Linked DNA regions of Arabidopsis thaliana. The protein of the gene in region 1 interacts with the protein of each later gene in a pairwise test. Each region holds a gene or a part of one and is shown in the gene's direction. Other genes may lie near its edges. The genes, in order: RR16, AT2G02060, AT5G08720 and NTT.

Region 1 (3,501 bases):
TGCTCATTTTCTGTGTTTTTGATTTCTTTGCTGCAGGTTCTTTGTGCTTCAAGTGAAGATCACTCGGTGGTAGAGCCGTTGCTACCACCTGCTGGTGCTAAACCAGGAGAGCGTGTTTCATTTTCAGGGTACATAGTTTTAACAATATAACATCGAACCTCTTTGATTGCTTTATTTACATGTTTCCCCTCCAGCCATTAAACTCATATATGCTCTTTTCTTTTTATTTTATTGTTGTTCTTGTTTATCTCAAACTCAAGAACCCTTTATCGAAATGTTTATATAGGATTGAAGGAAAGCCAGAAGATGTACTGAACCCAAAAAAGAAGCAACTAGAGAAGATAACACCGGTATGTGTTTTTTGCCCTTTATTAGGTTCCAGACTTAAACAAACCGAAGATGCGAGTACTGTGTTTGCATTATTATACGTAAACATTCAATCTCACGAGGACTTCGGTTAATCACATGCATTTGCAGGGTCTCTACACTGATGAAAATGGCGTAGCCACATACAAAGGCATACAATTCATGACCTCGGCTGGACCTTGCACTTCCAGCATCCCCAAGGCGACCATCAAGTAGTAAACTCAGTTGATACTTCTCTCCTCTACTCTAGCGTTTTTCTTTGATATTCGCAAACTCAGTTGGAAAAAGAAAAGATGTTCTTTTTGTCACAATTCGAATTAATCTAAAAACTTTCTTCTTATTAGCTTTTTGACAAACATCATTGTTTCAATTTCCCTTTTGAGAACTCTCTGCTACTAGATACTTAGTTCCATTTTCTTTGTTCACTCCTTTCGTTCAAGCTGTGCAAGTCCACCATTGGATTGCAACGTATTACCTACAAATATCCACTTAGCTACTTATGGGGTTTTTTCAATCAGATAAACCAAGCCATTCACTCTGGATTGAACTATCAAACCAATTGTGTTCAAATAAACTTGCAAATTACTTCAATTAGAAGAAACAACCTCCTTTTGTTTTGATTCGACGTAGATGATCTTACAAGGAAGGATGATAAAGAATCTTAGACCTGGCCCATGGGGATCTCTAAAAGAGATTGGTGGTCCATTTGTGACAAAAAGTCATTACCTGTTTCCATTTATTCCAAGGATTTGAACCCGAAAAATAATAATGAAAAAGTTGATATCTAAAGAATTATCTTATCAGCTTACAAGATCCTGAAACAGATCCGTACGACTGTCACCGGACACATATGTTTCTTTATTTAGTTTCACAAAGAATCAGTCCTCCAAAACACACAACTTCTTTCTTATATTAAACACACACAAAATCTTTATTCTTGTCCCAAAAAACAATTATGATCTTTTTTGAGGTTCTTTGGCTTTTATTATACGATTTTTCTTCAAATCATATCAGATTGTTACCGAATAAATCTTTTTCATATCATATTTTCAGTTCTATGAATCTACTACAATTTTTTAATTTTAAAGTGGTCCAAAAGAAAAGAAAAAAAGAAACCCCACACGATTCGAAGAACATGTCCTAACAAGTAACACAATACAAAAAGACAAGTATATGCAACTTTAAATCTATAACGACTGGTACTGAAACTAAAACCCCTAAAAATAAGAGATCACGAAATATCCGTGATATTCTTTGATGCAATCTCTTCCCCATTGCTCTCTGTTTTTATTTACTTTTAAAAATTATTCTGCAGAATTATATATAGTTGGGAAATCATAATGGAAAATTCTTCACCCACCTAAAAAATCAAAGAAACCATCATAAATACCATCACCAGAGATTCACATGATTCATGCATACACACTTCTGAGTCTGTCACTTTCTTCTTCATTGTTTGTGTTTTGTCTTTTTGATTTATTTTTGTTGAAGATGGAGAACTAAAAGCAATGTCTGCAAGGTCTTTATATTAATGCTAGAGTCAGTCTCGCTTATTATCAAGTTGTTTTCTTTATCAGTTACTTGACATTTAAGGAACAAAGGAGATCATGAACAGTTCAGGAGGTTCTTGTTCGTCTTTAATGGATGTGGTGGCTTATGATCATCATCTTCATCATGGTCATGATGAAGAGCTTCATGTTTTAGCTGTAGATGATAATCTTATTGACCGTAAACTCGTTGAGAGGTTGCTCAAGATCTCTTGTTGCAAAGGTTCAATCATTTTACCTTTCATGTTTTATAATCAATCATTACTTTATGCAATCTTTGTCTCTAAAATGTGAATTTTTGCAGTGACAACAGCAGAGAATGCGCTTAGAGCATTGGAGTATTTGGGTTTGGGAGATCAAAATCAGCATATTGATGCATTGACCTGTAACGTAAGCAAAAAAAAAACATATAAAATCTTCAAGATCTATGGATTTTTTTCCTTAGGACATATTTGATATTAGGTTTATATATGTGTGGATTTTCTAGGTTATGAAGGTGAGTCTAATCATCACCGATTACTGTATGCCTGGAATGACAGGTTTTGAGCTACTCAAGAAAGTGAAGGTAATTATATAACAGCTTCTTGGAACCAATATCCAGAGATTTATATTAACCTAAAAATCTTCTGTGTGTTTCTTTAGCAGGAGTCATCAAATCTGAGAGAGGTTCCTGTTGTGATAATGTCTTCAGAGAATATTCCTACTCGCATAAACAAGTAAGAACAAATTGAGATCAGATTAAGAACTTGTTTCTGTGTTTCTTATAGTGTAAGTAATTAGTAAAGATCATCAATCTTAATGTTCTGTTTTGGTCTTTTGAAAGCAGATGTTTAGCGAGTGGAGCTCAAATGTTTATGCAGAAGCCTTTGAAGCTTGCTGATGTTGAGAAGCTTAAATGTCATCTCATGAACTGCAGAAGCTAACCATGAGAGATTTATAATGTTAGCCCTAACCATGAAACGTTTTCATTGTGTCTTGATTCCTTATTTGATTATTTTACATGTTTTTCTTGAAATCAAGAAATGTTTTCACATGCCCTATAGTAATCTTTATACACAAAAGGAATCATAAAAAGTGGTTGTGGTGATGAAGATGATGACGATGTCTTCTCTCTTCCAATCCTAAACATCGAATAAATGGATAACATGAGAGGAAGAAACATCTCTTTATTCCTCTAACCATTGAAAATGGAGGCCACACGCAACAACAACAACATTGATGAGTCTCTTCTATCGTTGTTTCTTTCTCTTTTCTTCTTCCTCTTCTCTTATCTCTTTTGCGGCCATTGTTGCACAATATTGACATCGTTTCTGCGTGAAAAGAAGAGTAAGAATCTTGTGCAGCAAGAAAGGTCTAGAATTTCAATTTAGAACAGAAAAAATTAATACGAGAGAAAAAAAAGAGCAAAGGATCTTAACTGAATCACGATGAGATTCATATAAGAGTACAATCCTGTTTTTCTTCTCTTACCTCGGAAAATTCACCGGAATCTTATGAATGGGCTCGAAAATCTTTGGCAAGGAAGATTAATGGTGAGAGAAGATGATGAATCTCTTTCTTCTCCGAGAGACAGAGAGAGAGAGTCGAA
Region 2 (5,558 bases), about 16 Mb from region 1:
ACTCTAAACCTTTTCACATAACCATGCAATGTCTATATCTATCCATGTGTACATTGTTGTATATTATATTCTCTGTCTTGTAATTTATATATTAGTTGTGTAATTTTTTTGGTGGCCCAACCATTCCCAAATCAAACTTTTAAACAACTCTCTTTCACTTTTGTTTAATGTTATTTTAGGTGTGAAAAGGCTAATTCTTCTCTGTTCTCTCTAGGTGTTTCATGGATTACACCTTTTATATTACTTTAACCATCTTAGAATTTGCCTTGTTCTTGCATGTGCTATGATTGAATTCAATCAATGGGTGATGAGAAAATTGACCCAATAGAATAATAAATTAACATTGATAATCGTCGAATGGTTCGGTGAGATTTGCACATCCAAATTTTCCACACACAAAAAAGAATGTTATGTTTTTTATAGTCCAAAATCCAGTTGGGTTACATTATCTTACATGTATGTACAAAGTTTTATAATATTAATAAAAAAACAAGCAAAGAGAATTATTGAATGTTTTGATTGTGGTAAAAGCCATGAATCATGGACCTCCACAGTCAATTACTCATTCAATTTCTCTTGGAGCTATTTGTCTCTGCCAGACTCATTTAATGTATTATTTTCATTTGCTTCCACTTTCTCTCATACATGTATTAGTACTAACCATTTTGATTTTTGAGACTTGAACTCTCGGTTAGACATTTTATCCATCCATGCAATTGTGTTTATCGATCAATGATCATCAGTAGGATAATAAAAGGCTTTATTAGTGAATATAGTAAAATTGTTTCACTGATAAAACCTTTTGGAATGTGTTTACTTGATTATTTTGATCAATGATCATAACCTAGGTAGCTTTTTGTATTATTCTTCTAGTCAATATATAGGTAATATAAGCAACTCGTGTGTCTTTGACAAGCTGGTGACTGAATATTATATTTTAATTACCGTCTAATCAAACACTAAACCATTTTTAAAATCGTTAAAGCGAATTTTGGCATATATGCAGAGAATTCCACGTTTTTATAATAATTTAGAGAATGTGCATAAATGAGAAGAAAATGCAAAGCACAATAGGCTACATTTTAAAGGTCAATGACCTCACTTTGTGTGTAGATTTTATTATTTGATTGTTTTTTTCGTTGGGTATAGAAATGTCTGATTTATGTGTGGAATAAAGACGACGACTTTGTTAAATTATAAATTATTAAATTTTGTTCTCTTAATTAATACTCAATCGGCTTTTTCTTATTTTTTTATTATTATGGCTGATACCACGTAAACCACGAGTAAGTATGTAGTACAAATCAATTACTTTCTAATACTACATAAAAATTATATACTAGTACTTAATTTCTTACAAGAAATACATACATCATTTAAAAACAGTATTTGATGTTAATATAAGTAGTTAATAGTAGAATAGCTGATAAAATAACGTGATTTATGTCCACAATTCGTTGATTAAAATATTGAATCCATGGTTGGAAAAAACTGGCGAAATCAGTAATTATTGTCGGCTACCATATAGGGACATGATGGTTTTGGTTCGTCTTCCATGTACACCAAATCAGCAATGAGAAAAAGAAAAATGGGGAAAATAAATAATTCTTGTTATAAATATTATCCTAAGATTTATTATCACTTATTATGGGAGTGAAAAAGAAAACAATAAGAAGGAAAATGAATGGGAAATGGGAGAAAATGTAAAGGAATTAGGGGAATGAAGTCAAAACGGTGGTCCAAAAGACATAACGAAGGACCATTGTAAAATTGTGTGATTTATTTGAAATCAGAAAGTTTAACACGAAACCCTAAAAAAACAAAACAAAAAACAAAAATAGGAATAATAATTATGCTATATGGTCAAAGCTAAGCAGTTGGGCTATTTTCATTTAAATTTATTCGTTTTGGTCTAAAACCTATCGTGAAAAAAGTGAGAAAGTAAAGTTTGAGGTACTGTGGAGGAAACTTCTTCATTTGGGTAAATCCCAAATCCCTATAAGGTAAATATTATGTGTTCTTACAAAATTTGGTTTTTCTATGACAAGTATATTCTTTTGACCAGCTAAGCTAACAAATGTATGTTCAATTGGTTATATATCGATCGGGGCAAGGGTAATACTCGAATCTATGTTCTTTTCATGCAAGTTATGTATGTAGCCTTGTGTAGTTCTCTGGTACGTTGATATGCAATGATTCTCTCGAAAACTATTTAAAAAAATTATTTAAGATAATAATGAATGGGGTCACGAGTCAAGACTAATGTAACCAAAGTCAAATGGATTTTCGTATGATTACTACTTTTGTAACCAAAGTCAAATGGATTTTCGTATGATTACTACAAGCTTGTAGGTCAAAAAACACATGTCACCTCTCTGTTTAGTATAATAAACCAATTTTATAACATCATTCTTTTTATTTGCTAGTTTAATCGTCTAAATAAGTGACCCAACCATAAACCATATCAGATTATGAAATTTTGACTTTACGATAGTTTACGTATCCTCAAATTCCTCACGTATATGTCATGAACAATTCTTAAACAACAAAATTATAACTCTCTTTTAATTAATGTAGTTTTTTCGTAAGAACTCAAATTGATATTTAACAAAAAAAATGAATGAAACATTTCTCAAGTTTTAATAATTATTTTTTGGAATTTTGCAAAACATATATAGAGAGATAATAATAAGTATGAATGAATCCAAAAAGAGACAAAAAGAATAGATGGAAAAAGAGACAGTCATCTTTAAGAAAGAAGCCAAAAACAAAAACTTGCTCTTTTAATCCCAACCCACACACCTCTCAAATCCTCCTCTCCTCGTTTCTCTTTCTCTCCTCTTCACAGAACCAAAACATATCAAACCTTTTTTTCTCTTGGGTTTAAGTAAAAATCGAATCTTTGTGTCGGTTTTTAGGGTTCTTGAAACGATATGGGTAAGTCTAGTGGTAGAAATGGTAACGGAAGCTTTAACGGCAATAAATTTCACGGAGTTAGACCTTACGTACGGTCTCCAGTTCCACGGCTTAGATGGACGCCGGATCTTCACCGTTGTTTCGTTCACGCCGTCGAGATTCTCGGTGGTCAACACCGTAAGTTTATTATACTTTTTTTCTCTTCAAATCTTTTGTGAAAAAAACCAAACTTTTGTGTGTTTGTTTGCTTCAAACATCCTAAAGTTACGATATAACTAGAAAAATTGGACTTTTCTCATTCTTTTGTCTCAATCATCGTAAAAAATCAGTTTTTGAATAAAATCTTCACACTTTTGTTACTTTGTTTCATTCTTATCTTCAAAGTTTGGATTTTTATGCTAAAAAAAAGGTTTGAAGTTTCCTTATTGTGTTGTTTATCTTCATCATCGTAATGAATCATCTTTGTCAAGTTACCGAGTCAAAACCTTCACGCTTTTGTTGTTTTGTTTCATTCATAAAGTTTGAGTTTTTGTTTTTTTTCATAAAGAATCATCATAGTCACCTTTTTGATATTTTGTTGGGTTTGATGAAACAGGAGCAACACCAAAACTTGTTCTTAAGATGATGGATGTGAAGGGACTTACCATTTCACATGTCAAAAGCCACCTTCAGGTAAATAGTAATTAATTTTACCAAAAACATCAATTTTGTTTTCTTCTTTATTCATATTTCATTCATAACACCTTGTTTTGATTGTTTTGAACATATATATAAACAGATGTATAGAGGAGGTTCAAAGCTCACTTTGGAGAAACCAGGTATTATTTTTTTCCTTATAATTATGAAATGAATCAATGATGATATTTGGAAAAAGAATGGGACCGTTGATTTTAATTTGAACTGTTAACATCAAACACATAATAATGGATGGAATTTAATTATTTTACTGTATCTGTTTGTAGTATGTACTATTGGTCTAGTGTCATGATTCATAAGACAAATGTCATAAATACATTTATATATTTTTCAAGAGTAATAGAACAGAAAATAAGAGAATATTCATTAACTAGTTTTTATTGTTTCTTACACAGAAGAAAGCTCATCATCTTCAATAAGAAGAAGACAAGACAGTGAAGAAGATTATTATCTTCATGACAACTTGTCTTTACACACAAGGAATGATTGTCTTTTGGGTTTTCACTCTTTTCCTCTTTCTTCACATTCTTCATTTAGGTATTTATTTTTATTTATAATTGTTTTCTGACAAAGTTTTTTAATTTTATTTCAGTAAAAAAAAAAAAAAAGTGTTTTGCTTTTTTGTTTGTCTGTATTTGAATTGTCCTTTTACTTTGGTGCAGAGGAGGAGGAGGAGGAAGAACAAAAGAGCAGCAGACTTCAGAGTCTGGTGGTTATGATGATGATGCTGACTTTCTTCACATCAAGAAGATGAACGATACGACGACGTTTTTGTCACATCATTTCCCCAAGGTATAAATAAATTTCTCTTTTGTCAACCGGTTTGGAAATTTAATGTTGCAAAACAAAATCAAGTCCGGTTATGAGTTCTAACCGGTCTGATTGAGACTGGTCAAATCCAAAGGGATTGAGTCCGGTTTAAGTACTACTTGTCATTGAATCTAATTAGTTTCATATAAATGGCATTTAACCGGTTTTAGTCCGGTTTGGTAACTAATTTTGTCTTTTGGTTCATTAGGGAACAGAGGAGTGGCGGGAACAAGAACACGAAGAAGAAGAAGAAGATTTGTCGTTGTCTCTGTCGTTAAATCATCATCATTGGAGAAGCAATGGATCATCGGTGGTGAGCGAAACGAGTGAAGCAGCAGTCTCGACTTGTTCAGCACCATTCGTATCCAAAGATTGCTTTGGTTCTTCAAAGATTGATCTTAATCTGTCAATTTCTCTCCTCGGTAGCTAAATAAGTTATGCAAGATTTAGGTTCAGAGAAACTATTCGGATGTGTTTTTGAAACTAGGATATTGAATGTTAGTAGAGAAACCTAGAAAATGAAGTTTAGATAAATTATCAACGCAGCGTTTTGATCGCCTTTGAACGGAAAATTAACAAACAGAGCCAAACGCAGTGTTTTGATCTTTGAAGGATAACCCCTAAACGCAGCGTTTCTATATCAAGATCCTACGGTTTAGAATGTTCATTGTTATTTTGGTCGGCAATCCTACGGTAGAAAAAATAATCTCGCAGATAAAACCCATTAAACGCTGCGTTTCATCGTTGGAGGGTAAACTCATTAAACGCCGCGTTTTACATTCAAAAAACTTGAAACTACCTTATAACCGCCCAGACGATGACCAACGTCGTCAACGTCGGCGAAGATGAATCTATCGAACCGTTTTGGCTCCAATTCCAAGACGGCGATACTCAACGATTCTTACTCCGACGAGAATCATTCTTCCTCCGCCGCCGCCGCCGTAACTTCCGTCGTAATCCCACCGTGCTCCGGCAATGTACTCCGAGCCGTTCTCTTGCTCTTCTTCATCTGCTTCTGCTTCTCCCTCTACAGAACTTCTGGTTATCTCCGAATCGTCTCTGACTCTTCCTCCACCCTCTCTCGCATTTTCCCCTCTGTCAACGATTCTTCTTCGTCTCCGTCTCCATCTCCGTCT
Region 3 (6,418 bases), on another chromosome or scaffold:
AACTCGTTTAAGGCTTCAGATCTTCTTGGTGACAACAAGGAGAAGTTTCTGGCGAAGTTAGGGTTGGCTCGAGTTCTCAATTCCAACTCTTCTTCAGCTGATCGTGAGACGGGTGATGGAGATTACTTAGTCTCCACGCCCTTTTGCTCACACAAGTTTTCAACAACTTGCTGGAGTGAATATCTCAGCGATGCTCTGAAGAAGAACAAGGAGCAGAGAGGACTCATCTCTTGCCTTAGCCAAGACTGTGTCGCCTCTGTTGGACCCGATACGATCGAGCAACTCACAGAGCCAGTGAAGGAGATGTACGAGAATTATATTCTCGAATCCTTCATGGAGTGCCACAAGGCAACGATCAAATGGTGTCCTGCTTCGGGTTGTGAATACGCCGTCGAGCTTCAGGAGGATGGTAATGAAGATAATGTCATCAGTGTGGTCTGTTTGTGCGGCCATACCTTCTGTTGGACATGCGGGCTCGAGTCACACCGTCCGGTGTCTTGCAAAAAGGCATCAATTTGGTGGACGTACCTGTTGGATCAGTCAAGAAGCATTTCTTGGATCCATACAAACACCAAAAGTTGTCCCAAGTGCAAGATTCCTGTGCAGCAGAATGGTGATCCTAATTACAGACTCATTAATTGTATCTGCAGGTTTGTTTCTTTCTGAGCTTTAAAACATGTGCAAAATATTATATCTTTAAACTCATTACTATGTTTTCTTGACTGTTATGCATCATCAGTAATAACTTCTGTTGGATCTGCTTGCGCACGGAGGAACAGCATCAGGGGAACTGGAATTGTTCTCCAGTCGCTGTTCCAGCTGCGGGTCCTTCTACCGTTGAATTCTCACAGATTCTCCACCTGAATCTGTGGGAGGCAGGTCATGAAGCATTGAAGAAGGCTAAGTCCAAGCTGAGAGCCTTAGAGGAAAAAATCATTCCGAAACTGATCGAGAACTGCGGAGCGACCGAGCTGGACATTAGGACAGTAAGAGAAGCAGGGATGCTTAGTGTTCAGTGCAGGCAGGTACTGAAATGGAGTTGCGTATTTGATTACTCTATAATCGAGTACGAAAGCACGAAGAAGCAGTACCTGAAACACCTCCGAGCTCTGGCGAGCACAATGCTTTGTATGCACGAAGGGAAGCTTGATGAGTTGATACATCTAGCCCTCTCACCTGAAGATTTCACTAACTATAAGCACAAGTTGGAAATCAGTACAACATGCACTGGTAACCACTTCGATGGATTCATCAAGGAACTGGAAGATGGTAAGCCTGAAGTGAAGGCTGATGGTTACGAGAATGAACCAGGCAGTCGCTGGTTCTGTGATAGGTGCACGTTTGAGAACAGCTGGGTTGATAAACAGTGCAAGATGTGCTTTTTCCCCCTGGACTATCATCCTTCTCCTCAAGTGGCAGCAGCTCCTGAAGACCTTGGAAAATCGGAGTGAGAGTGAGTGATGAGTAAAGGATAAGTCTCATCAGTGATTGATGCTGGTTTCGTTTGGTGTTTTAGCTTCTCTTGTGTTGTTTTGTGTTTAAGAGTCTCCTTTGTTTCTCTTTCTCCTCTCTGTGTTGGATCATCATCCATCATATTGGTTTAAGAGTCTTGTTGCATTTGTCTTCTAAGTCTTTGTTGTTGTTGTTGTTGTTGTTGTTGTTGTTGTTGTTGTTTGTTGGTGTTTATGTTTGTGTTTCCTTGTTATAATATTTTTTGTAACATGAAAATGCAAATACAAAACTTCAGAGGAACAATAAAGTTTAAATCATGGTTTCGAATATAATGTCTATTGAAGAACAAAAGGTGAATTTCAACCATACATCAAATATATAAAATAAGAAAAAATCCGGTGGCTGAGAATATTTAACGGTAATGTAACACTCTGCAACAGTATCTTCTTCCTCTACACTGACACATTTCGTCGAACACCTTTCGCTAATGTCAGTGAGCAAGTTTCCACATCTCTCTCATGGCGTTCACACTATCAATTTCCTCAATGAACCAGTGTTTTTAAGTGTGTTGCTCCCATCTCCCTCTCGGATTCGAGTATTCTCGTCCATTTCCACCTCCGGGATCGGCGGCGGGGTCGCCAAGTGCCATGGAACGAGACATAGCGGCGCCGGTGGTAGAGGTGATAACGGGTTGAGGAGAGATAGTGGATTAGGTTTCGACGAGAGAGGAGAGAGAAAAGTGCGTTGTGAGGTTGATGTGATCTCGTGGAGAGAACGGAGGATAAGAGGCGAAATCTGGGTCGATTCTGATTCTCAATCTGTTTGGAATGTTCTTACTGATTATGAACGACTTGCTGATTTCATACCCAATCTCGTTTGGAGGTACTTCCCTCAGTAATACCCACTTTTTTCTTTCAGATTCTTATCATTTTGTTTGTGTTTATCTACAGAATTCTTCTGAATAATCTCTAAAGATTCAATTTTTATGTTATCTGGTTCATGCCATTGAAATTGTTTATACTGAATACAATGACTATACGTCTCCAAGAGAATGCTGAATCTCCATGCTTAGTTACCTCTCTTTGTTGATGGTATATTGTTTCAACTTGTAGTGGAAGAATTCCTTGTCCACATCCAGGACGTATATGGCTGGAGCAACGAGGCCTTCAAAGAGCCTTGTATTGGCATATTGAGGCTCGTGTTGTCCTTGATCTCCATGAGTGTCTAGATTCTGTGAGCACTCTTAAGCCTTTACTTTTCTCTTGCTGAATGATTGGGATTGAGTCTAAAACCTGCAAACTCTTCCGGATTCTGTGGTCTCTTTTTTTATGCATATCTTAGCTTTTGTTAAGAATCAAGAGGTTTCCTTTACACTGGATGATCTGTAATCATGGTTGATAAGGAGTTGCCTGCTTCCCACTTTCTCTAGATCCTTATTCCTAACCTCTTATTAGTTCTAGAAAAAACAATCATAGTGAGGTTTACTCTTGAAAATATCCATGGTTCTAATGAGTTCTCTTTCAGCCTGCTTTGCACTCATTGCATTGGTTACTTAGGGTACAACAAGATGTTATTTGTAACAAGTAGTTTTGTTGTTTGGTTAATTAGTTAATCTTTACTCTTGAGTTCTTATATTACATTTGTTTCTCAATCCATACATCTCTATTAATGTAGTTTTTCCTATTATCTTATTAGCCAAATGGTCGTGAGCTTCACTTCTCTATGGTAGATGGTGATTTCAAAAAGTTTGAGGGAAAGTGGTCTGTGAAATCTGGTATCAGGTACACTCATTAATCCCCGTAAGAAGTTTGTGTGCTCATCCTATCATCATTTAAATTAAATCCTCTATAAATGTGTATCAGAGAAATTCTTTCTGTAAACAGTCTGTTATGCATTTCTAACCACGGATCATTTTGGAACCATCTATGTTCCAAACATTTGTTTTTCTCTTTCTCCAGGTCCGTAGGAACTGTCTTGTCATACGAAGTAAACGTAATCCCAAGATTTAACTTCCCTGCCATTTTCTTAGAGAGGATAATCAGATCAGATCTTCCTGTAAATCTCCGGGCCGTAGCTCGCCAAGCTGAGAAAATTTATAAAGATTGCGGAAAGCCGTCAATAATAGAAGATTTGTTGGGTATAATATCTTCACAGCCAGCCCCTTCTAATGGTATTGAGTTCGATAGTCTTGCTACGGAGAGATCTGTTGCCTCCAGTGTTGGATCATTAGCTCATTCAAATGAATTGAACAACAATTGGGGAGTGTATGGAAAAGCCTGCAAGCTTGATAAACCTTGCACCGTGGATGAAGTTCATCTTCGTAGATTTGATGGTCTATTGGTAAGTAGTTTGGCTCAAAACTTACTCTATATACTATGAAAAAAAAAAGTTTTCCCATCTTTTGTGTTTATGAGTCAGTGGTTTTTTTCTTGGATGAAGGAAAATGGAGGTGTTCACCGATGCGCCGTTGCTAGTATAACAGTTAAAGCTCCTGTTTGTGAAGTTTGGAAAGTTCTAACGTCTTATGAGAGTCTTCCAGAGTAAGTACCGAACACATATATTTATCATATCCGGGCTTCACTGTTCTGACCTTAAGGAGGATTTTCTTGTCAATCTTCTTCAAATATTTGTTGTGTTGGCTTATATATATCTCTTGTTCTTCTGCGTTTATTGTTCATGAACCTATCAGGATAGTTCCAAATTTGGCAATCAGCAAGATTTTGTCACGCGATAACAATAAAGTCCGAATACTTCAGGTATGAGCATTCTCATCCACGGTTACCTTGTAATCAAATTTGGCAAGGACTAGAAGGAATCATTCTACAAGTACTTGTATTGGGTACTAACACTGGAAAAATCTGAAGAGAGAATTTGGTTGCCAAAATATGACTCATAATTTGCTCTTTCATGATTCAGAAAGGCTCTGTATTTAGTCTGGTCTTGAAGATCAAAATTCTGATACTGGCCAAAGCCAATGTTTCTTTTCTTGATTTCAAGAAATTATATAACTAAAACTGAATTCTGTTTTCAGGAAGGATGCAAAGGCCTGCTTTACATGGTGCTTCATGCAAGAGCTGTTCTCGATTTGCATGAGATTCGTGAGCAGGAAATCAGATTTGAACAGGTTGAAGGAGACTTTGACTCGCTAGAGGGGAAATGGATTTTTGAACAACTAGGAAGTCACCACACACTTCTCAAGTATACCGTGGAGTCCAAAATGAGAAAAGATTCATTTCTTTCTGAAGCAATCATGGAAGAGGTTTGGCTTACAATTGACTGAGTTCAGTGCAATCTTTTTTTTTTCTTATTGGAACCACAATGTTTTCTCTGAATCTTTTCAGGTTATATATGAAGATCTTCCGTCAAATTTATGCGCTATCCGGGATTACATTGAGAAAAGAGGAGAGAAATCTTCAGAGTCATGTAAACTGGAGACATGTCAAGTTTCAGAGGAAACATGTTCTTCATCTCGTGCCAAATCAGTTGAGACAGTTTACAATAATGATGATGGTTCAGACCAAACTAAGCAGAGACGGAGGATTCCTGGTCTACAAAGAGACATTGAAGTCTTGAAATCAGAAATTCTCAAGTTCATATCAGAACATGGACAAGAAGGATTCATGCCCATGAGGAAGCAGCTTCGGTTACATGGAAGAGTTGACATTGAAAAAGCCATTACAAGAATGGGTGGATTTAGGAGAATAGCTTTGATGATGAATCTTTCACTTGCTTATAAACACCGAAAACCGAAAGGATATTGGGACAATCTCGAAAACTTGCAAGAGGAGGTAAAGTTTCTAGACATGTTCAAAAATTAAAACCACTGTTGCCATGGTGTTTACAAGAGCTTCTCCCTCTGCATGTGGTTGCAGATAGGAAGATTTCAACAGAGTTGGGGAATGGATCCATCATTTATGCCGAGCAGAAAATCTTTCGAACGAGCAGGTACAAACAGTAAACTCAATTTAAGCTCTGTGTGTTCTTCTCAATCGGATTGGTCTGAGAAACATTTGGTCTGTTGTTTCAGGTCGTTATGACATTGCTCGGGCGCTCGAGAAATGGGGAGGATTACACGAAGTATCTCGTCTTTTAGCATTGAACGTGAGACATCCAAACAGGCAGCTAAATTCTCGTAAAGACAACGGTAACACGATACTGAGAACTGAATCTACTGAGGCCGATTTAAATTCAACGGTTAATAAGAATAATAAACCTTACGTCTCTCAAGATACCGAGAAATGGTTGTACAATCTTAAAGATCTTGATATCAATTGGGTTCAATATTGAAGCATTAATTATGTACATTTCACTATTTGTGTAGTCTTGTAACTCGCAAAGATAAACATGTATTTATGTAAATTGTAACATTGGATTGAAATTATCTGATCTCTTTTTAATGTTTCATCTGTTTTTAGTGTTTATATTTCACTTTGATAAAATAGAGTGAGAGAGCACCGAACAATAAGGAGGATAATAGCAAGGAACAAAGAAGTAAAGGTAAGTCAATGAAATTTGATAGTGATGGTTTTAAGAAAAAACGAAAGTCCCATCATTGTCTTCCTTCAATGTGAAATGAAGTTACACGTAATTAGAAACAAACTTCTTTCTAGGTTTTAGATTATTACAGAACCAAGTCTCAGAGGTCTTGACTCGTGACTGAAGAGAAAGGGTCAAGATATTTGGATGTGAATTGTGATGTGAAAAAGGAAAAAAAATCGAGATTTTAAAAGGGAAAATCAATAGAAAATATAAAATGCATGCATAAATCTAGAAATGATAGGTGTTTAACATTGAAGGCAAACTATGAGACAATCTTGAATCTTACTACTTTATACAATAGCTCTATATGTTATGACTTATAATAATTGGGACCTTCCTCGAGATTTAGACAGACCCTCTAACAGCTGAGAAACATGCATGTAAACAACATTTTTCTTTTTGATATAGATTAATCAGGAGAAATGAT
Region 4 (5,384 bases), on another chromosome or scaffold:
CACACCAATGCAATTGCTTCCCTTTTTTCTCATATAAATATTAAAACTCATAAAATAAATAAACAATTAACATAAGCAAAACTACATAATTTGGTTCATCGAATTAATAATTCATGTCAATAATAGAAAATCAAAACCCCCCAAAACTTTTACGAATACATACATTCCAGTTTTCTCTCGGGTCCTCGTACTTGATTACCAAATTTATTAATTATTGAATTCCCATATGTGTGTTTTCAATTTATTTATTTTTGTTTATTTTATAGTTAAAATTTTATGAGGAAGAAATCCATTATATGTGAATCTATATCCTAAAATGAATCTAACCTAGCATAAATATGGGATAATACTTCAAAACTACTCACAAACTTTGAAATATTGTCCTTCTAAACCTAGAAAGATATTATTTATCTAACCTTCTTCTTGTCTATATATTTTTGAAACTAGGTCATAGGAGTAGATTTTACTGATATTTATTTCTTTTCTAAACTACAAACACAAAAATTGTAAAATCAGAATTGTGTCCTAATTTATGCTATTTTTTTTTAATTAGCTCATGAGTCGGGAATGACGCCACAATTTTATTTAATTAATTTGTCCATCGGTATTTAGACAGTTACATTATTTTTCAAATTTACCCTGTTTCAAAACTATTTTTAAGTCTCAAACTGATAAGATATGGCTTCTTTTTTTCTTTTTTTGAGGAAAGGCTTTTAAGATAAGAAAATTTGTTTGGGAATTGGGATGAGAGCCATCTCCAAAAAGCAGTGACATTATCTTTGTATGATGTATCTGAACCTCATATGCTTTATGTATTTTTTTATTTTATTTTTTTGTCAAATATGTTCCTTTTTATATATTAATCCTGTTTCACTCATAGTGAATATAAATAAATAAATTCCAATTTTTCCGTGGAGCCAATATAGGTCGAACTCGAATAGCTTTTTGTTTTGTCATATTGGCTATAAGATTATTGTCTTTGGTATTTTAGCGTATGTATGTATACTCTTCAAGCGAGCCCTAATCCTCAATGTCTATTATTATCATCTTTATTACATTTTGACCTACTTGTATGAAATGGCATCCACTAATGCTTTTAATTAAGTACATAATCCACAGATGTGGAATATTTAAGGACTTTTATGATTTAAATATGTTAATACAAGTTCCTGTGCTATTAAGCCTTACGTAATCTGATAATGTTAATCAAATTAGATAATACATATAATTAGAGCCCCTTTTGTAGATTTACTTTAATTCGTTTAATTAGTAAAACAATCACCATGAAAAAATCGTCATATTCAAGCATAGTTTTACTCTCTCTTTTTCAACGACCATAGTCTGACAATAAACTAAGTGAATTCAGACTTGAACATACGAACAACAATTATTCACATCATTCAATGGTTTTGCATTCTTTTTCCTTATAAGATCCAGGTATAAGAGATACACAAATTGAATAAGGATCCAAAGTTAGATCTTTGTACGGTTTTTAAAAATACAATGAAGTAATATGTTATATAGTTCTGATGTGCAGGTTCAGACGCTGTGTTTACTTACCATGATCATACGTAGAAACTCTCAGTCACACGAATTATGAGACTATGATGTCGTCCGAAAATTAAGACATCTTATAATAGTAAGAAAATTAAAGAACGTGATTTGTAGTTTATAATTATAACAACTTATAAGATTTTGAAAACCTTTTAAATTGATTAAAAAATTATTTTAATTCTATATTCTTAACAAAAACAAATCACCAATAAAAAAAAAAAATCTACTATCTGAATTTCTAATGCTTACTGCCTAATCTATAAATGTTATCTTCAAAACATCGTAAACAGTCTTAACCGCACTGGTTATTTCTTAACCATCGTTTTATTTTTTTTATAAAGAATAAGGACCTACATATCTGAATGAAATAATTACTTTGCGTAGACTAATACACATTCGTATTTGACCTGCTTCTTTAGTTCCTTTTTTTTTTTTTTTTCGTTAAAGTCAGTTTTTAGTTTTCAGTCCATAATTAATAATCTTTCTCTCTCTTTTTCTCTTGCACCCAAAGAAAATCTCTCTTTGCAACCCAAAAAAAAAGCTCTCTCTCTCTCCCATCCCATCACAATCTCTCCATCTCCATCTTCATCTCCCATCTATGTCTCTTGTATAAAGATAATCCCACAAGTCTTAAAACTATTCCTTTCTCTTCCTCTCTCTCTCTCTTCACCATGACTGATCCTTATTCCAATTTCTTCACAGACTGGTTCAAGTCTAATCCTTTTCACCATTACCCTAATTCCTCCACTAACCCCTCTCCTCATCCTCTTCCTCCTGTTACTCCTCCCTCTTCCTTCTTCTTCTTCCCTCAATCCGGAGACCTCCGCCGTCCACCGCCGCCACCAACTCCTCCTCCTTCTCCTCCTCTCCGAGAAGCCCTCCCTCTCCTCAGCCTCAGCCCCGCCAACAAACAACAAGACCACCATCACAACCATGACCACCTTATTCAAGAACCACCTTCAACCTCCATGGATGTCGACTACGATCATCACCATCAAGATGATCATCATAACCTCGATGACGATGACCATGACGTCACCGTTGCTCTTCACATAGGCCTTCCAAGCCCTAGTGCTCAAGAGATGGCCTCTTTGCTCATGATGTCTTCTTCTTCCTCTTCCTCGAGGACCACTCATCATCACGAGGACATGAATCACAAGAAAGACCTCGACCATGAGTACAGCCACGGAGCTGTCGGAGGAGGAGAAGATGACGATGAAGATTCAGTCGGCGGAGACGGCGGCTGTAGAATCAGCAGACTCAACAAGGGTCAATATTGGATCCCTACACCTTCTCAGATTCTCATTGGCCCTACTCAGTTCTCATGTCCTGTTTGCTTCAAAACCTTCAACAGATACAATAACATGCAGGTTCTTAATTAATCACACTCTCATTAATCTAAATCTTTAACATATCTCAATACGCATTACTTTTTGAAGAATTTCGTTTTCTTTTCCATGTAAATCGACTTCTTTTTTCCCTTCATTATTCCGAGTAAACCCAAAAGGTAAAAACCAAAGAAAATAGGTTTGCTCACTAAATTTCCTCGAAAAAAAACAAAAACGTTTTCACCTTAAATCGGTAAATAAATATATATAAATACATACTGTTTTCAAATCAATCAGAGGACGTGTCTTTGCTCACTGATGCATGAATAAATCATTGCATTACAAAGAACCGAGAGACTTGAGACTGTGAAGTCTGAGACTGAGATTTAACAAGACAGTAAATGTTCTTTATGTCTTTAGTACTTTCAGAGTCTCTGTGGTTTGCTGCTTTTCACTACAATATTGGCAAGTGTGTCACCCTTTTTTTGTATGAGAGTCTTCAAATGTCTAACGTGTAAAATAACAGTACTGATACGATTTCACAGACCCATATTTCAATTAATATACATAGATACATATAAGGCTTCATTTGTTTGCTACATATATGAGCTTGATAAGATTTTGTACTGAACATAAACTAAGCATCTTTTTCTTTTTAAGTTTTGCTTAGTTAATTTGTTAACCTAAGCATGCATTGACATATCTTATTATTATTATTATTATTATTATTATATATATATATATATTTTTTTTTTTTATGAAATTCGTTTCTATAATTTTGATTACATTTCAGCATTTGTTTGACATCTTATTGTCTTTTTACATATGCTTCAAGGTTGATCTGCTAATTAAGTTGCGTCTGCTGGTTAGAATAATCATCATAACATTGATAATCTATGTATGCTGGCTAGAGTAATCATTACATCTTATAGAAGACACATGTTATTAAAACTGCTAATGCACATATCATAAGCTAAAGTTTCAAGACTCACACTTTTAGAACTTTTCGAACATATACTATAAGTTATCCAAACCCTACATGATGATCATATATACATGCATGATTTTGTTTACAGATGCATATGTGGGGACATGGATCACAATACAGAAAAGGACCTGAATCTCTAAGGGGAACACAACCAACAGGAATGCTAAGGCTTCCGTGCTATTGCTGCGCCCCAGGCTGTCGCAACAACATTGACCATCCAAGGGCAAAGCCTCTCAAAGACTTCAGAACCCTTCAAACACATTACAAGAGAAAACATGGGATCAAACCTTTCATGTGTAGGAAATGTGGAAAGGCTTTCGCAGTCCGAGGGGACTGGAGAACACATGAGAAGAATTGTGGCAAACTTTGGTATTGCATATGTGGATCTGATTTCAAGCACAAGAGATCTCTCAAAGATCACATCAAGGCTTTTGGGAATGGTCATGGAGCCTACGGAATTGATGGGTTTGATGAAGAAGATGAGCCTGCCTCTGAGGTAGAACAATTAGACAATGATCATGAGTCAATGCAGTCTAAATAGCTTATATATATTACTATAAGTACTAAGTAATTCGGTATATATATTAATTATAAGAAACCTAAATCTATGGACCAAGTTTTGATGGAGGTAGGGCTTTTCAAACTAAAAGCTATATCATCTAATTGATCATAGGAAAAAAATGAATCAAGAGCACTTGGAAAATTTTAAATTGTATCTTTAGCTTCCTAGTTAAATTTATTGCAAGACAATGTAGCAGTCTAACCAATGAGGTTCCCAACGGTTTATTTCTATTTGTATATTATTTTGTCATTAGCTTCACCTTTCGTTAATTCGAAGGACATAACTTATAAATGTTTAAATTATGTTTGTTAGGATACTAAAAGACAAGAAAAGTAGATGCTATACATTCATGCATAAGAATTTTCTCTTAATATACCATATTCTAGATCAAAATGAATATTTCCAAATTTCAATTTGAGTAATAATAGATTCTAGTTTTTTTTTTATTCCAACAGATATTTGTTTTCTGGTGGAGTTATCGTTGGTTTTATTTTATAAGAATACTTGTGATACTTAATTGTCTAGTGACATCATGGAAAATAATGAGAGAATGGACACTAGAGAATATTGCTACGTACTCAAGTGCAGAACTTTATTAGGAAGATCGAATACCAAATTATACATAATGTGATGATGATACGCATCCCATATGTTTTGAGAATATAACAATACATAAATAATTATAGATGTGTTTTGGTTTATATTTTATCAACGCATGTAAAATTAAATTAAAATAATTCAAATCTTTAGTACATAATTTACCAAAAAATATCATTCAACTGAACAATTCTTGATTCTCACGAACTCATCCGAATGTGAGAAAACAAATCAAAATGCCGATGCTAGTTATTGTCATATCTACCAATTCATAGCAATTAGTTTAAAAGCTACTCTCGTCCGTTTCTCTTTCTTTTTTTAGTTTATGTATATGTTGCTTGATCTAATACATAAT

Evidence for each region.
Region 2: the proteins of RR16 (region 1) and AT2G02060 interact in a two-hybrid assay, tested with the Arabidopsis thaliana proteins (one large-scale study listed by BioGRID).
Region 3: the proteins of RR16 (region 1) and AT5G08720 interact in a two-hybrid assay, tested with the Arabidopsis thaliana proteins (one large-scale study listed by BioGRID).
Region 4: the proteins of RR16 (region 1) and NTT interact in a two-hybrid assay, tested with the Arabidopsis thaliana proteins (one large-scale study listed by BioGRID).

Annotation. Positions count from the first base shown.
Region 1 is NC_003071.7:16,968,285-16,971,785, forward strand, and holds RR16 (response regulator 16), read left to right. Parts: upstream 1-1,569; 5' UTR 1,570-1,973; coding exon 1,974-2,136; intron 2,137-2,217; coding exon 2,218-2,303; intron 2,304-2,400; coding exon 2,401-2,478; intron 2,479-2,555; coding exon 2,556-2,629; intron 2,630-2,739; coding exon 2,740-2,836; 3' UTR 2,837-2,950; downstream 2,951-3,501. Other genes in the region: AT2G40660 (Nucleic acid-binding, OB-fold-like protein), read left to right, coding at 37-128, 287-350, 478-582. UniProt on the Arabidopsis thaliana protein: Functions as a response regulator involved in His-to-Asp phosphorelay signal transduction system. Phosphorylation of the Asp residue in the receiver domain activates the ability of the protein to promote the transcription of target genes.
Region 2 is NC_003071.7:492,758-498,315, forward strand, and holds AT2G02060 (Homeodomain-like superfamily protein), read left to right. Parts: upstream 1-1,987; 5' UTR 1,988-2,003; intron 2,004-2,623; exon of another isoform or gene 2,624-2,918; 5' UTR 2,919-2,933; coding exon 2,934-3,093; intron 3,094-3,287; exon of another isoform or gene 3,288-3,325; intron 3,326-3,511; coding exon 3,512-3,588; intron 3,589-3,694; coding exon 3,695-3,734; intron 3,735-4,007; coding exon 4,008-4,149; intron 4,150-4,274; coding exon 4,275-4,404; intron 4,405-4,630; coding exon 4,631-4,852; 3' UTR 4,853-5,021; downstream 5,022-5,558. Other genes in the region: AT2G02061 (Nucleotide-diphospho-sugar transferase family protein), read left to right, coding at 5,268-5,558.
Region 3 is NC_003076.8:2,840,857-2,847,274, reverse strand, and holds AT5G08720 (polyketide cyclase/dehydrase/lipid transporter), read left to right. Parts: upstream 1-1,744; 5' UTR 1,745-1,939; coding exon 1,940-2,334; intron 2,335-2,564; coding exon 2,565-2,685; intron 2,686-3,147; coding exon 3,148-3,233; intron 3,234-3,410; coding exon 3,411-3,792; intron 3,793-3,891; coding exon 3,892-3,992; intron 3,993-4,141; coding exon 4,142-4,208; intron 4,209-4,483; coding exon 4,484-4,711; intron 4,712-4,793; coding exon 4,794-5,240; intron 5,241-5,324; coding exon 5,325-5,397; intron 5,398-5,479; coding exon 5,480-5,739; 3' UTR 5,740-5,867; downstream 5,868-6,418. Other genes in the region: ARI16 (IBR domain-containing protein), read left to right, coding at 1-650, 740-1,451.
Region 4 is NC_003074.8:21,368,711-21,374,094, forward strand, and holds NTT (C2H2-type zinc finger family protein), read left to right. Parts: upstream 1-2,046; 5' UTR 2,047-2,225; coding exon 2,226-2,924; intron 2,925-3,958; coding exon 3,959-4,411; 3' UTR 4,412-4,881; downstream 4,882-5,384. UniProt on the Arabidopsis thaliana protein: Transcriptional regulator required for normal differentiation of the ovary transmitting tract cells and pollen tube growth. In Arabidopsis, the transmitting tract facilitates the transport of pollen tubes to the ovules for fertilization.